4 linked regions of the Mus musculus genome follow. The protein of the gene in region 3 interacts with the protein of the main gene of each other region in a pairwise test. Links are inferred from orthologs where the notes say so. Each region holds a gene or a part of one and is shown on either strand. Other genes may lie near its edges.

What was found.
Region 1: the proteins of Stat3 (region 3) and Sri interact in binary tests that used the Homo sapiens proteins (3 or more experiments, as listed by UniProt). The link is inferred for Mus musculus from reciprocal best matches to the Homo sapiens genes STAT3 and SRI.
Region 2: the proteins of Stat3 (region 3) and Rpa2 interact in a two-hybrid assay, tested with the Homo sapiens proteins (2 studies listed by BioGRID and IntAct, with this or other methods). The link is inferred for Mus musculus from reciprocal best matches to the Homo sapiens genes STAT3 and RPA2.
Region 4: the proteins of Stat3 (region 3) and Bmx interact in binary tests that used the Homo sapiens proteins (3 or more experiments, as listed by UniProt). The link is inferred for Mus musculus from reciprocal best matches to the Homo sapiens genes STAT3 and BMX.

The regions. Positions count from the first base shown.
Region 1 is NC_000071.6:8,054,358-8,060,281, forward strand, and holds the start of Sri (sorcin), read left to right. Parts: upstream 1-2,184; 5' UTR 2,185-2,231; coding exon 2,232-2,282; intron 2,283-3,180; coding exon 3,181-3,264; intron 3,265-4,995; coding exon 4,996-5,065; intron 5,066-5,924. UniProt on the Homo sapiens protein: Calcium-binding protein that modulates excitation-contraction coupling in the heart. Contributes to calcium homeostasis in the heart sarcoplasmic reticulum. Modulates the activity of RYR2 calcium channels.
Region 2 is NC_000070.6:132,766,031-132,772,099, forward strand, and holds the start of Rpa2 (replication protein A 32 kDa subunit), read left to right. Parts: upstream 1-2,329; 5' UTR 2,330-2,426; coding exon 2,427-2,436; intron 2,437-2,649; coding exon 2,650-2,756; intron 2,757-4,515; coding exon 4,516-4,617; intron 4,618-5,810; coding exon 5,811-5,924; intron 5,925-6,069. UniProt on the Homo sapiens protein: As part of the heterotrimeric replication protein A complex (RPA/RP-A), binds and stabilizes single-stranded DNA intermediates that form during DNA replication or upon DNA stress.
Region 3 is NC_000077.6:100,893,517-100,898,819, forward strand, and holds part of Stat3 (signal transducer and activator of transcription 3), read right to left. Parts: coding exon 5,278-5,303; intron 5,186-5,277; coding exon 5,092-5,185; intron 4,983-5,091; coding exon 4,935-4,982; intron 2,891-4,934; coding exon 2,807-2,890; intron 1,647-2,806; coding exon 1,548-1,646; intron 1,321-1,547; coding exon 1,185-1,320; intron 701-1,184; coding exon 648-700; intron 470-647; coding exon 375-469; intron 289-374; coding exon 149-288; intron 1-148. UniProt on the Homo sapiens protein: Signal transducer and transcription activator that mediates cellular responses to interleukins, KITLG/SCF, LEP and other growth factors. Once activated, recruits coactivators, such as NCOA1 or MED1, to the promoter region of the target gene.
Region 4 is NC_000086.7:164,254,454-164,260,511, forward strand, and holds the start of Bmx (cytoplasmic tyrosine-protein kinase BMX), read right to left. Parts: upstream 3,741-6,058; 5' UTR 3,598-3,740; coding exon 3,595-3,597; intron 1-3,594. UniProt on the Homo sapiens protein: Non-receptor tyrosine kinase that plays central but diverse modulatory roles in various signaling processes involved in the regulation of actin reorganization, cell migration, cell proliferation and survival, cell adhesion, and apoptosis.

The DNA of each region.
Region 1 (5,924 bases), on a different chromosome or scaffold from region 3:
GGGGCGGAGCTAGAGTACCTAGCACCATAGCCCAGCTCTGAATTCATATCCTCCTTTCTTTGTCTTGTCTCAGCTCTCGTTTCTCAACTGCATAAAACTGCATAACAAAAGCGCCTATCTCACAGGTCTTTGTGAGGACTACACAAATAGGCAAAGTTTATGAAGGTCTGACACTCATTAATTACTGTGTGTGTGTGTGTAATTTATCTTTGTTTTCATCATTAATTTGTTGGCAATCGCTGTAAGGATTTCATTTACAGCCCTCCATTAAAATTCACTTCTTAAGGGAGGAGTAACCAGAGTCTAATGTCTCCTAATGTGACAATTAATGTAGTCGCTTATCCATAAAATGAAGCCTGCATTAGTCACAAATGCTTTATTGGTGACACATATTTTTTGTGATATTTTCAAACTCGAGTCCTGAAAGAGCTTAAATTCAAGTGTGAGTTGAGCCCTGTTCACCTAGCCGATTAAAGTTCCAAACTACAGGACAAAACCTCAGAATGCCTAATCAAAGACCATGGTATTTGAGAACAGTAATTTTATCTCCAGAAGCAGACGTAAAACAGGCTACACCTTTGCTACGTGATCACAAGGACTATTGGAATTGTTTCTCGCTATTTAGAACTTTCTGTTTTGGAGCTTATGTATCCAAAGAGAACTTGGTCACACACTATGGTCAGTCTTGTTCATTAAAGTGTTTCTCAAAATGTTAAAAACAAAACCAAGAGCGGAAGTGCCCTCCTTTCCTTTCTGCTGGGTACCGCTGCCTGCTGTCAAGATGGGCAAGTTCATGAAACCCGGGAAAGTGTTGCTGGTCCTGGCCGGATGCTACTCCGGTCGCAAAGCCGTCATCGTGAAGAACATTGACCATGGCTTCTTGGACCGCCCTTACAGCCATGCCCTGGTGGCTGGAATTGACCGCTATCCCCAAAAAGTGACAGCTGCCATGGGCAAGAAGAAAATCGCCAAGCGATCCAAGATCAAGTCCTTTGTGAAAGTTTATAACTACAACCACCTCATGCCCACAAGGTACTCTGTGGATATCCCCTTGAACAAGACTGTTGTCAACAAGGATGTGTTCAGGGACCCAGCTTTGAAACAAACGCAAGGTCAGGCGGGAGGCCAAGGTCAAGTTTGAGGAGCGATACAAGACAGGGATGAACAAATGGTTTTTCCAGAAGCTTCGCTTTTAGGTATATTTTTGTTTCGTCATTAAAAATAAAAATAAATTAATAATAACAACAACAACAATAATAATAATAACAATAAAGCAGGCAACCGTTGGTGACTCTCATCTGGGGCTGAGGCCATGAGAGGCTACCCTGAGAACCTGGATCTCAAAAGGAAAGAGTAAGAGCAAACAGTCAAAAGCAAACAAACAAAACATCGACCAACCAACACTGTTCAGTCCTTAACAGTCCGGAGCCAGCAAACAATTACCTCTTGTTGCAATTGCACCAAAAAACAAAAAAGAAGCCGTGAAACATCTGAACAACCCACGTGAGTTTCACATCCTTTCCAGGAAGCTTCACCACTGGGGTTGTTTCTATTCGAATCATCCAGAAAATTAAACAATTCACTTTCCTATGAATGACCTGGGTGAGGCTGTCCTGCCTAGAAACTGCCCTCTTCTACCCCACCCCACACACCCACGCCTAGCAATCGCACCTGAGCTACACTCAGCTTAAACGGTTGGCAAAGAAACAGGCCACCCTCAGTCAAAGCTAAAAGCCCACTTGCATGGTTCAGAAGTTTTCATCAGGTTTTCAAAGTTTTTTTTTTCCTATTTTGTAAAGTGTCTCCTTCGCCCACTGGAATTGTTCTCCCCTTCCCTACAGTTGTGCATAGCGTTCTTATCCCGTCCTCTCTACCCAACAACCCGGTGTAAATAGTAAATGTTCTACAAAATAGCACAGTAGGAAGAAGGGGGGAAAAAACCCTCCCCTAGCTGTGCGTGGATGTCGGAATGTGCCACTAGGTCGAGAGGGAGAATGGGTCCTGATATAAACTCGTCTGGGGTCCTGGGTCATCGCCCGAGTGTGGGTCGCAGACGGCGCTGACACAGCACAGAGGCAGCAGGGAACGGGCGGCACTCGGGATGCCGCGGGGCGATCGGGGTGGGTGGCGGCGAGCGGCGGCCCCCGCGGGGCGGCGTGGTGCGCTCCGGGGCGGCTCTGGGCCGGACGGGCGGAGCAGCAGACAGGCAGGGCGGAGGCGCAGTCTGCACCATGGCGTATCCCGGGCACCCTGGCGCGGGCGGAGGGTACTACCCAGGCGGGGTAAGTGCAGCGGACGAGGGCACAGCAGCCTCTGGTCTCCCGAGACTGGAAGGCGCCACGGACGAGCGGGAGGAGGCGTCGCGGGCGGTCCCAGATGCTCCCTGCGAGCTCGCCTGGACCCTGATGTCCAGCCTTGGCTCCATTTTTCTTCCCCATCTCTTCCAAGGGCCTTTCCAGGGCCCACCGGTGGGTGGGCTGCGACCCAGGAAGCCCATTCTGTAACTCGGATATGTGGCGTGAGATAGTGCAAGTTGGTGTTGACTTCCTGCTCTCTCGGAATGTCCCCAAAGCAACAACAGCCATCTTGATCTAGAATGGTTCTGTGGTCACTCCCTTGAAAAGAAAGTGACAGGGAGACCAGAAAGTCTGGAGAAATGAGCTGAAGTCCTAGAGGAAGACCACTTAGGCAGATGTGGGAGGTGTACTGTCAGAGACAGAGGGACCCTCATTTTAGATATAACCGGGCCGGCCATCCCTGTTCTTCCCAAGCCACACCTGTCAGCCCTGTACTAACTCCAGCCTTACTTAGTACTTCAAGTACTTCAAAAACACCGCAAAGGCTGTAAAAACCAACAGGAAAACAGTCCTAAGCCTAGCCACCAGGTTGCTTCCGGTGCACTGACCTCTGTAAGCTGGTTAATAGGGATTTTTAAAGTGGGTCTGCGTTTAGTGGCCATCACTCTCATGAAACTTGTTTTGGACCAAGTCTCCAGCTTTTAGATGTCAGGAGCAGGAGTGGACAAGCCTGGTGGGTCACTGAGCTGAGTCAAGGTGGTGGGGAAGATAGAGACTGTGAAGGTCGCACAGGCGTCAATTGTACAAAAGCCTTGGATGGTTAAGATAAATTCAATTCTCTCTGATGCCTTTACCTTTTTTTTTTTTCTTTTCTTTTTCACAGTATGGTGGGGCTCCCGGAGGGCCTGCGTTCCCTGGACAAACTCAGGATCCGCTATATGGTTACTTTGCTGCTGTGGCTGGACAGGTTAGCCTTTCCTTCAATACTGAAGAATTGTTATGTTCTGTTTGTGTTAGCATTTAGTGCAGTGGCACAAAAACAGTCTTTGCTCTGGAAATGAGTCCCTTTGCCTGAAAGAAGGTAAAAGGAAAGGAAGACTAAAACAGTCTTTATTTTAGATCTGGACAAATTTGGACAGAGTATTGCCTGTATCAATAATAGATCAGTTCAAAGCTTGTGATTGGACTGGGATTAGACTGACCCAAAGGGGGAATATAAATATACTTTGAAGATCTACAAAGTGTATACCTCCTCACTTGTATTGTCAGGATAGAACAAGGGCTGCTTACAGAGAAGAAATTCAAGATCTGAACATAAAACCTCTGCTTGCCTAACCTAAAGACAAATATTAGTAATTAATTATTTTATGGCCCAATTATGATAGTTAGCTACTTTCAGTTGAATTCGATAATTAATCATTTACCCACAAAGGAAGTAGAGAAGAGCTGTAAAGAAGCATCGGCTTCCAAGCACAAGAGTTGCTATCAGTATTCGGAAGGTAGCCTCCACCCAGGGGCAGGTGCTCTCTGGAGCTAGCGCTCCATGTCCTTATTAGGTGATGTGGCCAGATGACCCACGGAGGGAATGCAGGTCAGCTAGTCCCAAGTCCTAAGACCTACTTCCTCCCTCCGAGAGTTATGACCGATGCCTATGGCTATTGTGGGGAAGGACATGTTCCTAGGTTGCAAGGTCACTGTGTGTTTGTAAGTGTTCTGTGGACATAATCCAGATGTGTCCAGAGGGGACCTCCCTTCTTAGTCACCTTAGACTTGTTTTAAACAAGAGCCCAAAAGAAGGAAATGATGATTTGAAAAAACAAGCAAACAAACAAACAAACAAACAAACAGATATGCTCTAGAATATGCTAAGCAAACTTCTACGGCCACCTTGGAAGAAGTGGTACTCTAAGAAACAGAGCTCGGAGAATTTGAATGGAAAATTGAGTCGAAGACTGGGAGACTTTCCTCTCGAGTGTCTACTTAATATGTTATCGATCCGTGTTTTTGAAACCACAAGACATAGCACACCTCAAGACAAGCATTCTTAGATTGCCAGTGTCTTCAGCATGTAAGTGACTCCACCTGCTTGACTTTCAGCAGTGCTGGCCTCTAGTCCACACATTCATCTTCTTGCAAATTATTGATCTTGTTCCTAATTATAACTTAATGAGTCTCACCAACTTGGATTTATATATTTTATTTAAAATCCATAAAAATGTCATGTGTCTTATTCTGACCTCAGTCAACCAGTAAGTAGGTATTGGTACCCTGTATCTTTTCTATATAATTGTGCTTGGAAGACCCTGTTTGCTGAGTCAAACTGGTCCAAGAGCCTCTTTCTCCTTGGACCAGGCCTTGTATTTACTGATGCCTACAACTCTGTGATATACCCTACTTCCCCCCTCTTTCAAAAAAAAGGGTTGGAGGGATATGTTTTTAAACAATTCTGTTAACTAATTTTAAAATGATTGATTTTGATAGTTCCTTGGCTCAAACTGAATGCAGACTGTTGTCATGACAGTTATTCTCTCACCATTGAATTATTTTTGGAATTAGAATAAGAAGAATTTTGAAAGGCATTCCTTTAAAGAAATGCTACATATAATTATTTTCTCTTGTTAAATGCTGCTTAATGGCTTGAAAGTGCAAGTCACCACCCTGATTTCCTTTCCTGGTTTTTGTTTGTATTTTTTTAAAGGACGGACAAATTGATGCTGACGAATTGCAGAGATGCCTAACACAGTCTGGCATTGCGGGAGGATACAAGCGTAAGTTCGTGGTCTTAGGATCTGTCTAACAATACTCTTGTTCTCTGTACTTCAGCTGTGAACTGCGATTGTTCCTTTAAAGAAATCAAACTCTTCTCATCCACCAAGCTATTATTTTTAAAAAGTTAATTGAGCAGAGTTCCTAACAAGCCATTTCAGTTTACCAGAGAGGTTAGTGGACTTCTTGGATTTGGGTTCCTTGTATTCCAGGACCATTGGAACCAGTGAGACCATTTGGGTGGCCTCCCACTCAGAGGACAAGTTAGGGTGCTGAAATGGAATCCACTGGGTCAGGTATCGTTAATGCTAAGTGCTAACAGGTACCACTGATTCTACCAAGTGCTTGTTCTATCCTAACTCTGGTGGCACTGAGAGAGTGGCCAGTCTTGCTGTCTGATCTCTGGGCTCTGGGCTTACTCCCTGGTAATACAAACACTTGCAGGCCATGACACTGCCAAGGTCATTCTTTCTGTCACCTGAGAAGATGTGTTCATGCTGAGGAAAGCTTCCTGCTTTCACTCCATGCCAGCCTTCTGCTCCGTCCTCCATTCATTGCAGGCTGTATGTGCAGCCCCACTGTTTGTCACATAGCCTACCGTCCTGACTTCTCCAAACTGTGCTCCAGGAAGCAAGTAGGGAAATAAACGTTGCAAAGATGCTGAATTCTGGCTGGGGCTCATTATCCCACGTACTCTGGTTTTGTTTGGTTAGTTGTTTTGTTTTGTTTTGTTCAAATCTAATCTTGACCAAGAGAAGTGTCTGGGACAAATAATAGTGTCTTAGCTCAATTGTGCCCCCTTCTAACTTCTTCGCATTTGTTAGTAAAAGCAGAACATCAAATGGACACCTCAACGTCATA
Region 2 (6,069 bases), on a different chromosome or scaffold from region 3:
AGCACATACATACATGTACACATATACACACACAAATGCACGCATGTACATATATATACACAAACACACACCAGTACACCTACATATACACACATGTACATGCATACACAAAATACATATATACACAAACATGCATATGCATATACAATATATACCACATACATATAGATATATACATACACTACACCTATACACACATACACTTATACAAATGCCACTATAACCACACACAGATAAACACATATACACATACATGCATACACATATATATACATATATACACACCCCTACACACATATGCACATATACTTACACCTATGCACACATGCACACACACACCTATACCCACCTACACACATTTAATGGTTTGAAATAACCTTTGTCAAATGTGTGAGACATGGTGCACACTTGGAAGACAAAGGACAACTCTCAGGAGCTGGTACTTGAGGCCTCCTCCACAGGAGCGTCCTCCTTGCCACAGGAGTGCTGGGATTGCAGATGTGCCATTGCGTTTGGCCTTTTGTGTGTTCAGGGTTTAGAGCTCAGGTCGGCAGGCTTGCCCCTCATGTGCTCTACCCAATGACCATTAAACAACTGAGCACACAGGACTGCGGGGATGGCTCAGGGGTTAAGAGGGCATGTTGCTCTTGCTGATCACCTGAGTTAGCATTACAGAATGGACACGGACACGGCCAAGGGACAGCTGCCTATAACACATTTAGGGACCCCCCAAGACCTCCTCTGGCTTTGGAGGCACCTAAACTCATGTGCACGTACCCACATACTTTCTAGAAAACTAAACACATGCTCTAGTGCTCGATCAGCTTTTAGACGAAGGTGTATGACTCATATAATGACTGGTTGAAATCACGGGAGACTGAGAGGGAGACAAAACTGGGGGCAAGACAGCAGGACATCTTTGGATCTTTTTAACTGTGGCCATGTATGGCCATGAGGTTTCTTTTGTTTGTTTTCTTTTTTTTTTCTTCAAGACAGGGTTTCCCTGTGCAGCCTTGACTGTCCTAGAACTCACACTGTAGACCAAGCTGGCCTCAAATTCACAGAGATCCACCTGCCTCCACCTCCCAAGTGTTGGGGTTAAAGGCGTGTGCCAACCCCTCCCCCAGGTAGGGTTTCTTTCTTTGAAAACATGAACATGTTATCTATGCCCTGGATACAAGCCTGTGTGTGCGTATGAACATGTGTGCTGGAGTGTGTGCTTGTGTGTGTGTGTGTAGAGGACAACTTGTAGGAGTTGTGATGGAGCAGCCTGACTCCACCTTAAGTTCTGAAGCCATCTTATCATACTACCAAAATAAGTCCATTCCTCTTTTCTATAAAACTTAATTTGACCAGGTCTTGACCAACTTTCTGAATTTCGACAGGTTCCACACCCTATACCCTGATTTCAGTCTGATAGACGTTCTGCCAAATAATGCTGAAATGTTCGACCAAGTGCCTACATAACCCTTGAAAATGTCCATATTCTTGCAGTTTTGGGGGTTATATAAACCTCACCTCTTGTGTTCGATGCTGTTTTCTCATTTTGTATTTGTTTTGTTTTTTCGAGACAGGGTTTCTCTGTGTAGCCTTGGCTGTCCTGGAACTCACTCTGTAGACCAGGCTGGCCTCGAACTCAGAAATCCTCCTGCCTCTGCCTCCTAAATGCTGGGATTAAAGGTCTGTGCCACCACTGCCCGGCGATGCTGTTTTCTCAAAACCCCAGTTTAGCGAGATAGCCATCTCTGACAAAATTAAGCTTGCTTAATTTGACCAAAAATTGTTTAATCATTTCTACTCATCTTCAGTGGGATTAACAGTTGAGCCTCTCCTTCCACCATCACGCAGGTATTTATTTATGAATACAATATCACTATCTTCAGACACACCAGAAGAGGACAGCAGATCCCATTATAGATGGTTGTGATCCACCATGTGGTTGCTGGGAATTGAACTCGGGAGTTCTGGAAGAGCAGAAAACTAGCAGTTTGGCGGGAAAAGGGGGCTAGCGAGCGGCGGAAGTGATGTAGGGTTGCATGCGACGGAGATGGGGTGTGTGTGAAGAATGCTTGAGGATGGCCCCGGAAGTATCGTTTTGATTGGTTGTTTTCTTGAATACTGTCCTATCGGAAATTTGCCCTCAGTAAAGATGGCCGCGCATGCTTCCATTCCTTCTTGGGGCCGGGTGTTTTTCCTAAGCTTGGCCTTGATACCGAAAAAAAAAGGAGGGGACTCATGAGTTCTGATTGGCTGAAGGTAAATGTGTCCAGGGCGCTGATTGGCTGTCCCTTCGCGGGAAGGAGTTTGTGGCGCCAGTGCAAAGTAGCCAGAAGGCTGCCACGCCAGAGCGGCACAGAGTTCCCAAGTGTTCTTAGTTTTCGTGTCCGAGCGTCTTGGGCCGCTCTCTCCGGAGAACTGCGACCAGGATGTGGAATAGTAATGGCGGGCGTGGGGAGAGTCACGCGAGGGTGTTGGGAGTGGGCGAGTCTGGCGCAGGAAGGCCGGGACGGAGCGAGAGGCCCGAGGCGGGCTCGGCGGCGTTCGCGGGGTGGCAGGGGGATTGTCGCGGCTGGGGCGGTGGGGACAGCGGTCGCCAGGTATAGAGATGGGGAGCGCAGCGCAGACTCTGACGACGGTCGTTCCCCGCAGGCGGATTCGAAAGCTTCAGCAGCTCCACCTATGGCGGAGCAGGCGGCTACACGCAGTCCCCCGGTGGCTTCGGGTCGCCCACACCGTCGCAGGCGGAGAAGAAATCGGTACGTAGACTGACGGCTCCGTTCTCATTTGTGTCCTGGCCAGGAGGGAACGTGTTTTCGTGCGGGAGGGTGGCACACCCCAAGGTGTCAGAAGCTGTCCGTTACCTACCTTGTCTTTTGTATGGTCAAGTGGGGAACAGGGTTTTTATTATTTTATTGTTTGGCAAGCCTGCAGTGGTTCGCCCGGCCTCCATTTTCCTGGCCCTACCACTCGAAAGTATGCTTTAGTAGAGTTTAATATCGCTGTCCCCAGGGCACAAAAATCCCTGAAGAACAAGAGTCCACTGTGTTCAGAACAGGTTTGGGGTTGTTTCCTGTTGGTAACTGACAGGAAGGACACGCTAAGCCTTAATCTGCTGGGCTTTTTCTGCCTCGTACATATTCATTGTATGACCAAGTGTTTTGGAGGTGTTTGTAGCTCTGGCTGGCCTGGAACTCAGAGATCCACCTGCCTGTACACTGTAGTTGTCTTCAGACACACCAGAAGAGGGCATCAGATACCACTACAGATGGTTGTGAGCCACCGTATGGTTGCTGGGAATTGAACTCAGGACCTCTGGAAGAGCAGTCAGTGCTCTTAACCGCTGAGCCATCTCTCCAGCCCAAAAAGATCCTTTCTTAAAAAACAAACAAACTACATTGCTCGTAGGTGGCTTGAGAGGCAAGTGTCTTTGCTAGATGCTCCTCTGCCCACTCCATCTGACTCTCCTGTTAAGATGCCCAAAGATGAGCAGCTTGACGAAACTCACCAGGTTTTCTGCAGAGACTGCCATCTGGTTGCCAGAATATCTCCTAAAAGAAGCTATACTTCTAACTTCTTCCATTTTATCAAGAAACCTAGAGCATCTTCGTAGTCCTTTTTCTGCTTGTCATTTCTCAAGCCTTTTCACAAGGCCCTGTTGTCTCCGTGGTGTCCTGAACACTGCTCTTGCTATGTCTGGGATGTGCTCTTTCTACCCCTACCTCTCTGAGACAGTTGTTTTCTTGTTGTTGTTTTGTTTTGGGTGTCTGTGTGTGTGTGTGTGTGTGTGTGTGTGTGTGTGTGTGTATCCTTGGCTGTCCTGGAACTCACTCTATAGACCAGGCTGGCCTTGAACTCAAGAAGTCCACCTGCCTCTGCCTCCTGGGTGCTGAGATTAAAACCATTTGCCACCACTGCCTAGCCCTGGGATGCGTTCTTTTTTTTTTTTTTTTTTTTTTTTTTTTAAGATTTATTTATTTATTATATGTAAGTTCACTGCAGCTGTCTTCAGACACTCCAGAAGAGGGCATCAGATCTTGTTACAGATGGTTGTGAGCCACCATGTGGTTGCTGGGATTTGAACTCCGGACCTTCGGAAGAGCAGTCGGGTGCTCTTACCCACTGAGCCATCTCACCAGCCCCCACCTGGGATGCGTTCTAAAGACAGGCTATCCTATGTTGTCCTGACTCTAGTCTGACCTTTTCTTTGTGAACCCACAATAGGATACAAACATATATTCACCTGGAGGTCTAGCATCAGATCCCTGTGGGCTTGAATTCAAAAGTGTGGCATTCGCCGTGTATAGTAGCACACACTCTGAATCCTAGCACTTAGGAGGGAGAGGAAGATGAAACAAATGTTAACTTTCTGGCCCTGTTTTCTGTCTCTTTTTAAAGTAAGGAGAACTTGGTTTTGCAATTCCAGGAGTGTGGTATATTCAAGTGCTTGGCACATGGAAATATTAAATGAGTGATTGTTACTCTCTTGGGTTGACTGTGCGTACTTTTTCTTTTCAGAGAGTCCGAGCCCAGCATATTGTGCCCTGTACCATATCCCAGCTGCTTTCTGCTACTCTGACTGATGAAGTGTTCAGAATTGGAGATGTCGAGATTTCACAGGTCTGTAAGATTTTGTGGAAGAACCGTTTAGAGATAGGAAATATGAGGGGTGGGAAGATGTCTGCGCAAGCGTGAGGCCCAGTATCAGATCCGTATGCATGTACAAGGCCAGGCTCGCTTCCCCTGGGTCCTGTAACTACGAAGCTCAGAGACGGGAGGGTCCTAGGGCCTTGCTGGCTCCAGGTTCAGTGAGAGACTCTGTCTCAAGGGAATAAAAGCAATAGTGCTAGACCTGGACAGCCAATGTCCTCCAGCAAGGGCATTGCTCATCTGTCTGCTCATTTGTGCATACCCTTCACGCATATGCAAAGAAAAAGGAGTAAGACTTGCTTAATCGAAAAGTATGTAGCAAGTGACGTGCTCTGTGGGTGAAAGTGCTTGGGCCTTTAGCACAAGTCTGATTACCTGAGTTCAGCCTCCATATTCTACATTAGAAAAAGAACCAGCTCCCTAAAATAGCCTCTGACCCCTGGGCCATGGCACACATACACACAATGGTAAAATAACAATATTTTTGTGGAAAGTATTTTTTGTTTGTTTGTTTGTTTATTTATTTATTTTTCGAGACAGGGTTTCTCTGTATAGCCCTGGCTGTCCTGGAACTCACTCTGTAGACCAGGCTGGCCTTGAACTCAGAAATCCGCCTGCCTCTGCCTCCCAAGTGCTGGGATCAAAGGTGTGCGCCACCACCGCCCGGTGGAAAGTACTTTTTAAAGCTGGGCAGTGGTGGCTGACACCTTTAACCCCACCAATGCGAGGCAGAGGCAAGTGGACCTCTGAGTTCAAGGCCAGCCTGATCTATTATAGTTCCAGGACAGCCCGGCCTGCACAGTGAAACCGTATCTCCAAATAAACCAACAAACAAAAAGTAATTTTAAAAAAGAATATGAAGGTATTCTCCCTTGGAGCCTCTGTTACTTGTAGGAGTTGTTTCTCAGTTTTCCTGAATGAATATGATCTGTTCAGATAAATAAAAGTAAGTTTTAGACTGAACATGGCAGCTCACACCTATAATCTTGGCACCCAGGAGGCAGGCAGGAGGATTAATTACCACAAGTATGAGGCCAGTCCGGCCCATGAAACAAGTGAGACTATCTCAAAAAAAAAAGTTTATAAATTATTTGTGTGTATATGTGCATCTTGCTTTGATCCCCAGGGAAATCAGACTGTGTTTATTTCTTCCTCTATCCTAGGTCACTATTGTGGGGATAATCAGACATGCGGAGAAGGCTCCAACCAACATTGTTTACAAGATAGACGATATGACAGCTCCGCCCATGGATGTTCGTCAGTGGGTTGACACGGATGTGAGTGTCTTCTCTTGGGTCGAGGTGGGGCGACTTTGGGCTTTGGATGTTGAGCTCTTTCAGTTTTAGCCTGTTACAGGTTTCTCTGTATAAACATTCATAAGCAAGATACCGAGGGTAAAACCCATAAAGCGAGAGCTTAACT
Region 3 (5,303 bases):
TGAACAGGACAAACTGGCAGGCCACCTCTTCAGGAGGCACAGGCCCTCTCTGCCCTTCAGGGGGCAGTAGTACCCAGAACATGAAGTAGCCGGGTGCTGCCAGTGGCCAGCAGGTGGAGCAAGTGATACAGGAGGCAAGCGTTCTTACCACTGATGTCCTTTTCCACCCAAGTGAAAGTGACCCCTCCTTCTTTGCTGCTCTCGCTGAAGCGCAGTAGGAAGGTGCCCGGGGGCTTTGTGCTTAGGATGGCCCGCTCCCGCTCCTTGCTGATGAAACCCATGATGTACCTGCAGCCAAGGACAACCAGTCACGGGCTTGCTGGGAGTAGGTGACTCGTTACACAGGGCAGCCTTACTGCAGAGTTTAACCTTACCCTTCATTCCAAAGGGCCAAGATATACTTTTTCACAAGGTCGATGATATTGTCTAGCCAGACCCAGAAGGAGAAGCCCTTGCCAGCCATGTTTTCCTGGAGAAAAGAATGGGAAAGCAAGTCCACCACCACTCACCCCAGCTCTTTCCTGCCAGAGCCTTCTTACACCCTCAGGTTCCTCTATCCTCAGGCAGCTCCTGACAGCTGCTGGAGAAAGGGGTCCTGGGCACCCCACACCTACCTCCTAACTGAGGGAATCAACAGGATCACTTACTTTGCAGAATTTAGCCCATGTGATCTGACACCCTGAGTAGTTCACACCAGGCCCTGGAAGAGAAAACAACAACCGGATTTCAGCCTTGGCCAAAGCTATTTCTTAAGCAGAATTTACAAAAAGGCCATGCATTTGTACATGTACTTACAGGGTGTGTGCCACACATGCCCACACACACCCAAGCCCAACAGCTGTCCCTAGATTAGGCCAGCACAGATGTCCTGTTGGACCCCTGCTTGTCCTTGCCTTGTGTGGTCTGAGAACTGGCAACACACAGTGACAAAGCTGGCAGCTGGGGTCAGGAGCCTTTTTTTTTTTTTTTTTGTAGGAGCACAGGTCAAAGTTACTTTCAGTCCAGATATTTTTTTAAAGGGGAGAAAAAATTTAAAACTATTGTCTTTGGCTTTTTAAAGAAAGAAACATGCTCTTCAAACACACTTAGCAACCTGGTCCTGGCATGGTGCCTTGCCCTAGGCTGACATGGGGACCCCGACTGAATGACCACCCCCCAGGCCAGACATGTCTGAAGCTGTCAACCTAGGAGCTTCTCAGCCAGCGTTGTCAGCTGCTCGATGCTCAGCCCCCGCTTGGTGGTGGACGAGAACTGCCAGCTGAGCACCTCGGCCACTTGGTCCCAGGTTCCAATTGGCGGCTTAGTGAAGAAGTTCACGTTCTATTGAAAAGAACACATTTGTTCACTTGGATGAGAGAGTGACACTGACAGCCTGCACCCACTTGGATGAGAGAGTGACACTGACAGCCTGCACCCACTTGGATGAGAGAGTGACACTGACAGCCTGCACCCACTTGGATGAGAGAGTGACACTGACAGCCTGCACCGGGGGTGGAGAAGCAGCAAGGTTCAGGGATTTCAGAGAGGGTTGGGGGTGGGAAACTCACCTTGGGGTTATTGGTCAGCATGTTATACCACAGGATTGATGCCCAAGCATTTGGCATCTGACAGATGTTGGAGATCACCACAACTGGCAAGGAGTGGGTCTGTAGAGTATGGGGACAGGCGGTGAATGACTTAGTGGGACAGCTGGGCTCTCACAGCTCCCAACCCTTGTCACCCGCATCTCAATAAGTTAGAATTAAAAATCACACCATGGCCACCCCTCACGGCAAGTGCAGGCTGGAGCAAGAACACCAAGAGGAGAAAGACCAGCCTGCATCAGGACCAGCCTGCATCAGGACCAGCCTGCATCAGGACCAGCCTGCATCAGCACTGATGTCTGAACATCATCAGTGACTTGTTCAAAGTCAGGCCCTAAAAACTAACACTAGGGCTGGAGAGATGGCTCAGCAGTTATGAGCACTGACTGCTCTTCCGAAGGTCCCGAGTTCAAATCCCAGCAACCACACGGTGGCTCACAACCATCCATAAAAAAGATATGACTCCCTCTTCTGGAGTGTCTGAAGACAGCCACAGTGCACTCATAATAAATAAATAAACAAACAAACCTTTAAAAACAAACAAACAAACAACTAACACTAACCCAAACACTAAGGCTAACCCAGGCCCTCAGCCCGACTCTCCAGAGACAGACCTGGAAGGCAACCTCCAAACAACCTGCATCTTTCCATGAAGCTGAGGTGTTAGAAATCAAACCTAAGGATGTCTGCTTTTCCAGGTCTAAACTTAATAAGATCAAGAAAGATGGAAAACAGGGGCTGGAGAGATGGCCTATCAGTTAAGAGCACTGACTATTCTTCCTGAGGTCCTGAGTTCAATTCCCAGCAACCACATGGTGGCTTTACAACCATCTGTGATGGAATCTAATTCCCTCTTCTGGTGTGTCTGAAGAGAGTAATGGTGTACTCACATACATAAAATAAATAAATCTTTAAGGAAGGAAGGAAGGAAACAAGCAAGCAAGCAAGCAGGAAAATAAAATCTAAATGGCGGCTACTAAGACCCACTTGCCCAAACTTCATCAAATCGATTCTAAACAATCACTAATATAGATTTTCATAACAGGTACTCAAGCAAGACTTTACTCTTGGGGACAGGGTGGCTCTCAGGGACGTTTCTGAGATAGATAATGAGAAACAAATCCAGGCTGGGCAGACAGCCATCATCCCGGCAGGCGTTCTGTCCTGGCCTCCCTGCACACGCACCCCCGCACACGAGCCGCCTGGTTCTGGGAAGGCCTCACCTCTAGGTCAATCTTGAGGCCTTGGTGGTACACCTCAGTCTCGAAGGTGATCAGGTGCAGCTCCTCAGTCACGATCAAGGAGGCCTGCAACAGCATAAGGTCTCTCAGAGACACTGGCAGGGACACAACTCTGCCCTCTTTCTTCCACCCAAAGACCCAAGGACATGATCCTCACATATGCACTACATAGTACATAACCATATCTTACAATACACATTCAAGGCACGAAGAATAACAAAGCAATGAGCATCCAAGGATAAGCCACCCAGCTTACGTCCTTATTTGAGGGCCAGCAAGATGGCTCAGTGGGCAAGGGCATCTGCCTGCCAACCCGAGCCTCATCCCTGGGACCCACTTGGTGGAAGAAGAAACAAGTCCTTCAAGTGGCAACTTGACCTTCACATTCACACCATCGCACATGTGCGACCATACACAAACACAGACACACAGGAAGGAAGGAAGGAAGGAAGGAAGGAAGGAAGGAAGGAAGGGAGGGAGGGAGGGAGGGAGGGAGGGAGGGAGGGAGGGAGGGAGGGAGGGAGGGAGGGAGGAAGGGAGGATGGGAGGGAGGAGGGAGGGAGAAGGAGGGAGGGGAGAGAAAGAGGAAGGAGGAAGGAAGGGAGGGAGGAAGAGGGAAGGGAGGGGAGGGAGGGGAGAGAGAGGAAGGGAGGGAGAGGGAGGAGAGAGGGAGAGGGAGGGAGAGGGAGGAGGGAGGGAGAGGGAGGAGAGAGGAAAGGAGGGAGGGAGAAAGGGAAGGAAGGAGGGGAGAATAGGAAGGAATAAAGGAAGGCTTCTTAGGTTTCTTCTCTCTCTCCCTCCTTCCTTTTATATGCACTAGGGAGCAAACTCAGGGTCTCATGCATCTAAGTGCACCCCAACACTGAGCGATAGCCTAGCATTATCATCCCGCATAAGTTGCCATTATCACCGAGATTCCCCAGGTGAATCCCCCTTCTCTGCACTTTACTGTGTCTTTGTCTCTGCTGTCTCCCAGCTCCTCCCAACCGTGTTCATGGTTGTTTCTCCAAGCATGTGTACTTCACACAGTGAACTGCACTCTCAGTGTGTTCCTGCTCCTGACACCCCACCCCCACCTTGATGAGGGTCTGTGGTCCCGTGCAGGTCCCAGTTCCTCTTTCAGAGCTGTAGAGTACTCCACTGCCTACACCACAGCTCATGACCCCAGTGCTGAGAGATCTGAGCTGTGTCAATGACCAATGGCTGTGACTGTGTTATCTGTCCTTAGTTCACCTATGCAAAGCTTTCTTTACTGTTAATTCCTAAGACTGGAACTGCCGGTTTACAGGGTGTGCTCATTTTTATGCCAAGTCACTTTCTAAAGTGACTGTGATAACCTTCAGTGCCACACAAGCAGTCAAGCAATGTGGCTACCTGTGGTCATGAGCTGTGGTGTAGGCAGCAGAATACTCTACAGCTCTGAAAGAGGAACTGGGACCTGCACGGGACCACAGACCCTCATCAATTAGTACACAAATTACTGATGAATTCTCAGGAATGAATTTCCAGCTCTTTTACATGTATGTGCTGAATGACAGAATGATCTCAAACTCACAATTCCCCTGCCTCAGCTCCTGAGCACAGTTTGGTTGGTGGTTTTTTTTTGTTTGTTTTGTTTTGTTGTTGTTTTTTTTTCTGTTTAGCTCTGACTGGCTGACTTGATGTCTTCCTTTTGTCTCACCAGGCACTGAAAAGGGAGCCAGCTGGCAGGTAGTAGCAAGGGACTCTGGGAAGCCCCGGGCAATGTGGAAACTTCTTTTCTACCAGATGGGTGTGGGTAACAGCTTGGCGAGGGACTTCCCACTGCTGAAAGGGAGCCAACTCCCCAACACTCAGGGAAATGTTTCTCGCTAGAAAACTCCACAGCACCTGTGACTTCTGAGCATGTCACCCTGGCCCAGAGCGACCAACTTTTCTAAAGGACAAACATCTGAAGTAGTGGGTTAAAGTTTTAATTCTGGGTTGGAGAGAGGGAGAGAGGGAGAGAGGGAGAGAGAGAGAGAGAGAGAGAGAGAGAGAGAGAGAGAGAGAGAGAGAGAGCGAGAGAGCTTTCTCTTTCTTCCTCAAAGAAAGAAAACAATTGCTTTTAGCCCGAACAAAACTTACTTACATCACAATTGGCACGGCCTCCATTCCCACATCTCTGCTCCCTAAGGGTCTGGAAGAAAGGAAGAAGAAGGAGGCAAGTGTCACTTGAGGCTGTGCCAGTCTCTCCCCCCTCCTCTGCCACCTGGCCTGTGCCGCCTCCTCTCCCCTCGGACACCGACCAGGTGCTTGAACTCTGCAGACAGGCTGCCGTTGTTAGACTCCTCCATGTTCATCACTTTTGTGTTCGTGCCCAGAATGTTAAATTTCCGAGACCTAAATCATGGGAGAAAAACCAACACACAGTGAGCGCTGAGTAGCCAGAGGGTAAAGTTGGATGAGAAAGAACAAAAGGAGGCCCAACTTACCCTCTGAGGGCAGCAACATCCCCAGA
Region 4 (6,058 bases), on a different chromosome or scaffold from region 3:
GGCTTGATGTTGCTTTGCTTCTGTCTATATGCTACTGGTTATTTCTTTTTTTTACTGCTTGTTTGCTAAATTCTTAATAAAAACACACTCACTGGGTTGTCATGATGCACACCTTTTAATCCTAGCACTCAGGAGACAGAAGTAAGCAGATCTCTGTGAGTTAGAGGCAGCCTGGTCTACAGAGTGAGTTCCAGGACATCCAAGGCTACATAGAAGAACCCTATCTTGGAAAACAAAAACAAAGCAACACAACCAACAAAGAAAAAACCCAAACACTCATTTGAAACTGTAAATACAGCTAGCTATTGTAGACCATTCTTGGAACTGTATGGAACACCAAGTCACACTGGTAATGTGTTGGAGTTGGCATTTGAATTCTGGTCACTTAGCTCTAAAGTCCACATTATTGACCAGGATACCAGTGACAGAAAAGAACATGGTCACTGTGTGACCTAAACCTGAGAAGACTAACTTAAACACAAGAAAGCAGCCATAGAGTGTGAAAGCTTGGAGTAACTTTTTACTAAAGATATTCTGAACCCTAACGTTCTAAGCAACTTTGCTAAAACGACAAAGCAGTGATCTAATAGCTCAGGGAGCTAGATTCAGCTGTCTTACCTTAGATGCATTCATACTATGGCACTGGACATACTCAAATAACTGGGCATGGTGGCACATGCCTTTAATCCCAGTACTTAGGAAGCAGAGGCAGGAGGGTCTTTATGAAATCAAGGCCAGCCTGGTCTACATTCTGAGGTCCAGACCAGCCAAGACTACACAGTGAGATCCTGTATCAAAGAGGGGGAAACACACACAGACACACACAGACAGACACACACACACATACATACACACAAACATACACATACACACAGAGAGAGACAGAGAGGCAGAGAGGCAAAGAGGCAGACAGAGAGTTGCAGAGAAACTCACATATGAGAGCGATTTCTATGTTCAACCAAAGCTACTTCCACCTTAATAAGGCACACTGTTGAGGGAACTAGACATAAATGTGGATCTAATATGACCTGTGCAAGGAACATTTACCAGCGAACTCTCAGAAAGATGTGACTTTGAAATAATCATTCAGTGGAATGCCTCAATACATTGTTAGACAGCAAAACTCCAGGCTAGGGTACAGAATGAAGGTAAAGAATGGTTGTCAATCATGTATGTACAAGGCCCCGTATTTTATCTCTGGTTTCAGAAACACAGACACTATAGATGAATTATAATGCATATTTTGAATAGTGCTAAAAATATTCAGCCTTAAAAGTGGGAGTAAATGGCAGGTAGTGAAGGAGGTGGGAGCTGGAGACAGGAGAGAGATGGGGTGTACTTAAATTGGTCCAGTCTGGCAATGGAAACCTCTTCCCTGAATAGTTCAAGATGTTCTTTAGAAGGGATAGTGGAGGCAACACTTTCTAACCCTTTTCTTGTTTTGTTGTCTTCTTTTACATGTCGTTTAGCTGTAGATTTTGATTAACTGGTGCTAAAATATAAAGTGATAAATGTATTGGATAGGCAGGAAGACGAGTCAGGAGAAGGGAGGTACTCCACATGAAGATTGGGCAGGGGTCTGAAAAAGAAATTGGAGAGTCCTTTGACAACTTAAATAGTCAAGTATTTGTCCAAAGTTGGTCCTGTTTATTCTGCTAAACAACTGAACATAACACAATGGTAAGCTTAAGCAAGAACAAGAAGTACAATTCAGAATCAGTCAAAGTTGCTGAACAAAGCCCCTGGTACTGGCTTTCAGCTCTGTAGACCCAACAAGTCCCTATTTCACACGACACGGTGCAGGTCAGAGAGTTACAGTTGATCTTGGCATGAGACAGACAGAAAAACTAATGTCAACACTCACATCCTTAACATTTTGGAAGACCAAATGTTGACTGCTCTGAGATAAGCTTATGAAAACAAGGCAAACTTTATTCTCACCAAGAGAAAATTCCAGTGCTACCTCTGTCTGAGATCACATTGGCTTCGCACATAAGATTCATCTTCTGTGCCTTCTGGAGAGTTTCTGAGCCACCTTCTCTTATTTTGAGCAACCTCTTCCTTTTTGCCTCCCCTCCCCCTGGCCACTCCCTCTGGGCATCTTCATCAGAAAAATAAAAAGTGGTAAATCTATCAGTTAGCATTGGCTTAGCATCTATTACTCTCTAGATGTGGACTGGCATAGACAAGACCATCACATATGGATAGGTTCAAATCTTTCTTTGTCTCTCTGCAACTTGACATATTACCTAACCCTGCTAAACCTCAGCTTCCTCATCTGTAAACACGGTAAAAACAATAACTGCCTTGAAGGGTTTTGAGAAGTCATGAGAAAATGGCAGTGCCCTGACCAGCACCGTAGGAGATGAAGCTTCTCCACAGCACTCTATAGTTACATTGAAAAATAGTCTGAAGACAATGATGTGTGCCTCAAAGATAATTTTTCCTTTCTCACGCCCTGCCCCCAAGCTCTTTACATATTCTCAAGTCAATAAGCACCTGCTCCTTATGTTTGTAACCAGCTCTCTTGGGGACCAGTTACCTTCCAATCAGGGTGAATCAGCCAGTCTGCATGGTGTATCTGTACCACCACAAATACTTATCCAAACACATACTGGAAGTGACTCTAAGGGTGGTTCATGGTCCGATAGTACGATTACCTCCTGGAGCTGCTTCACCACTAAGATGTTCTAGCAAAGAAGCCCATACCTACACTCATGCAAGCAAGTGGGTAAAAACACAGTAGAAAGGAGACTTGTTCAGAGGAAGAACAGAGTCCAAGGGAGTGAGAGGAAGCGGGAAGAGCCGAACTAAATAAATACTTGATCAAAATATTTTTCATCCGGGCAAAATATTTAAACTTATCAAAGAGTAAATTAAAAAGGTAAAGAGCACAGCTGACTCTGGTGACTCATGCGAACACTAGAGCACTGACAGAAACTACAATTTATTTGCAGTATTTATTAAAATCCAGTGAAATCACTGTAGCTAGCAAGACCTCTTTAATTCTATGGTCGTGGGAACCAAATGCACCATTTGTCTCCCACGTCTCTCTTTCCATCATGAAACACTCTTAATTTCTGGTTTATGGAGAGTTCAGGAATGGAAAAGCAAACATTTGTAGCTGAAAAAGCATGATAAAAAAGATAAAGAAGGGAAGGTACATCTAAAAGCTCTTTGTTGTTGTTTGTTTGTTTCTTTGTTTTGCGAGCAGTTATAGAGACAGTGTGAAATGTCATTGCCACGGCAGTATGCGAAGAAGCACGCGGAGAAAATCAACAGAGGAAAGAGCACAAAGCTACATCCAGCTGGTCTCGCTAGGCACCTAATCAGGCAGCCTCTCAGAGTGAAAGTTTGAGCAAGGTGAATAATTCACAGTGAAACTATAGGGATTTAAACCTCTGGTCCCCAAATTACAAGCTCCCTTTCAAGTCCCAGGGGCAGCCCAACACCTCTGTATTCATAATTTTGTGGTTTTTTTTTTTCCTGAGATGGGCTTTCCAAAATTTAAAACCTCCAGGCACCACAACATCTGGGTCCAAACCTATTCTGTAAGATAATGACACTGCGTAGTCACAGGCCACTTAAACGCACCATTTGGGCTCCTTCTGTCTCCCTGGGGTCCACCACGGTGAAGCGAAGCTGCTCCTGCAAGAACGCAACCTCGGGCTGTCCTCTCTCCAGCAGCAGTGAATTGTATCACATTTTTTTTTCCCCTGGCTGTTGGGTCAGAAATGGCTGTACGACTCAGTGCCCCCAAAGCATTTATTGTCCTGCAGGGCCTTACACAATCCCACAGGAAACCACGCTCAACACTTAGCCAACACTTGTTGATGTGATTGAATGCAATGAACACGGAGACAAAAGCATATTTCAGAAAGGCTCTAATACTGATAACTGCGGCTCCTGCTTTTCCCAGGCAGCTCTTGGGGACATGTGATAACCCTGCCTTTGTTTCTAGAGCTTTGTGCTGGAAAAGACAAGAAAATATCTTGGTGAAACCCGACTTCTGACGCTGACTTCTCGCACAGAGGCCAGAGTCAGGAAATCATTAGGTAATGCCAAAGGGTACATAGAATAAGCAATGAAAACTTCAAACCAGCACTTGGACAAAGGAAGGCCGGAGAATAAGAACTACACCCCTGAAAGTGCACATACCCATGTGTGCAATAGTCAGTAAATATGGGACCCAATATAATGTCTCCTTCTGAAAATGGTCAAAAACTGGAATCAGCCAGCCAGCCTAGCACATTTCTTTTTCTGAGGCCAAACCTAGCTAACGAAACAAGCTGCAGGGAACTAGTGGCTGGTGGGACCTGGATCTACAGACACCTCTTCCACTGCTATACTCAAGCCTGCTATCAGAATACTGAAAGAATTCAACGACCAGCAGAAACTCTACCATCCGGGGCGTGCCTCAGCCTACAGGAAATGAGTTAATTTATGTCAAAGAAATGAGTCTAAAAATGGGAACAAGACTGGTTTTGCTAATGTATGCTGCAGCAATATCACCAAGAAAAAAATGTGACTGCCAGTTTTTATTGATAATGAACACATCTTGGTATTTGGCTATTCTCAACCACTATTTTCTCTAGTGTGTGCCGGCTGGTCATGTACAATAAAGCTAATGGAGTTACAAATATATCACTGATTCTTATCACTTATTATTTTATGTGTATGGATTTTTTTCCTGAGTGCGTGTCAGTGCAGTACATGCATACAGTGCCCTCAGAGGCCAGGAAAGGGTTTCAGATACCCCAACACCGGAGTTACGGACAGTGGATGCTGGGAATCAAACCTGGGTCCTCCAAATGAGCAGCCAATGCCCTTAACCTCTGAGATGTCTCTCTAGCACCTCTAATACCTTATTTTAGACTCATCTGTAGGGTGCAAGAAAATCAACCTTTTAGTATGCATTAACATACTGTATTCACTTATTAACTGGCGGGCATGTTAATGTATCTATAAGCATGTGTGATGTGATCATATGATGATGCCTTGTGTGTGTGCGATGGAGACTAAATCCCTCACCTTTCCAACAAGCACTCATTTGGGCAGAGGTAGGAATAGCATTGTTGCTAGTCTTTGAGTTGTTCAAATCATATTGAGAGTCTGCTGTGTGCTGATCATTCTGGTAGAGACTCAGGCTTAATAACCTGGTAAAGTGATTTAATTCTGCACTCCCCCCCCCCCGGTATGGTGTTATATGTGGTAACATGGTAGGTAGATTTTAGAATAAGAATAACTTAGAGGAGGGGAAGGAAGGGGTGGTATCACCATGGAAACACCTGGATACAATCTCCTGGGATTTCTATACCCCATTGGTGTGCCATTCAAAGGCAGCAAGGAGGAGTGGTTTTCTCTAAGTCAAAATGCCACAGATTTATTTCCTTCTTCTAGTGATTCTCTTCCCCTGCTATTCCTCCTGAAACTTTCTTTGGCTCTGTATTTTCCATGGTTTCAGTTAACTTCTAACTTTTAATTTTAATTACATGACTTAATTGACTCCAATTGTAGTCTTTATTATGTCCTTTGGCAGACAAGACCCTTTGGAACTTTCTGGACAGCTTGCTTGTGCAAGTCTTTAGTGAGCAACAGCCAAAGAGGCACACCAAGGGATGGGACTTTGTGATGTGACGAGGCTTGTTCCCTTACACTCATGGTCTTGAATCCACTACAATTGAAGCAATGAAAGGGAGAGGGTAAAAAGGGAGAAGAGAGAGGGAAGAGAAGAAAAAGGAAGGAGAGAGGGAGGGAGAGGGGAAGGGAGGAGAAGGGGAGGGAGGGAGGATCCTTCAGGTTGATGGCTAGCCTCTATCACTTTCAGCATTAGGGAGTTGATCTCTTTGAGGTCAAGACCAGCTTGGTCTAAATAGCAGTGAGACCCTGTCTCAAAACTTTTTGTTTGACTTATGTTTTATTTTTTAACTTTTGATAATTTTATACAAGCATGTAATGCATTTAATCATGCCCACCCCTCTCTTCCTTCTGCTCTTGCCGACTCCTTTTCCCCCAAACTAGCCCCCCTTCCTCTTTTTTTTCTGTGTAGGGAGTCACA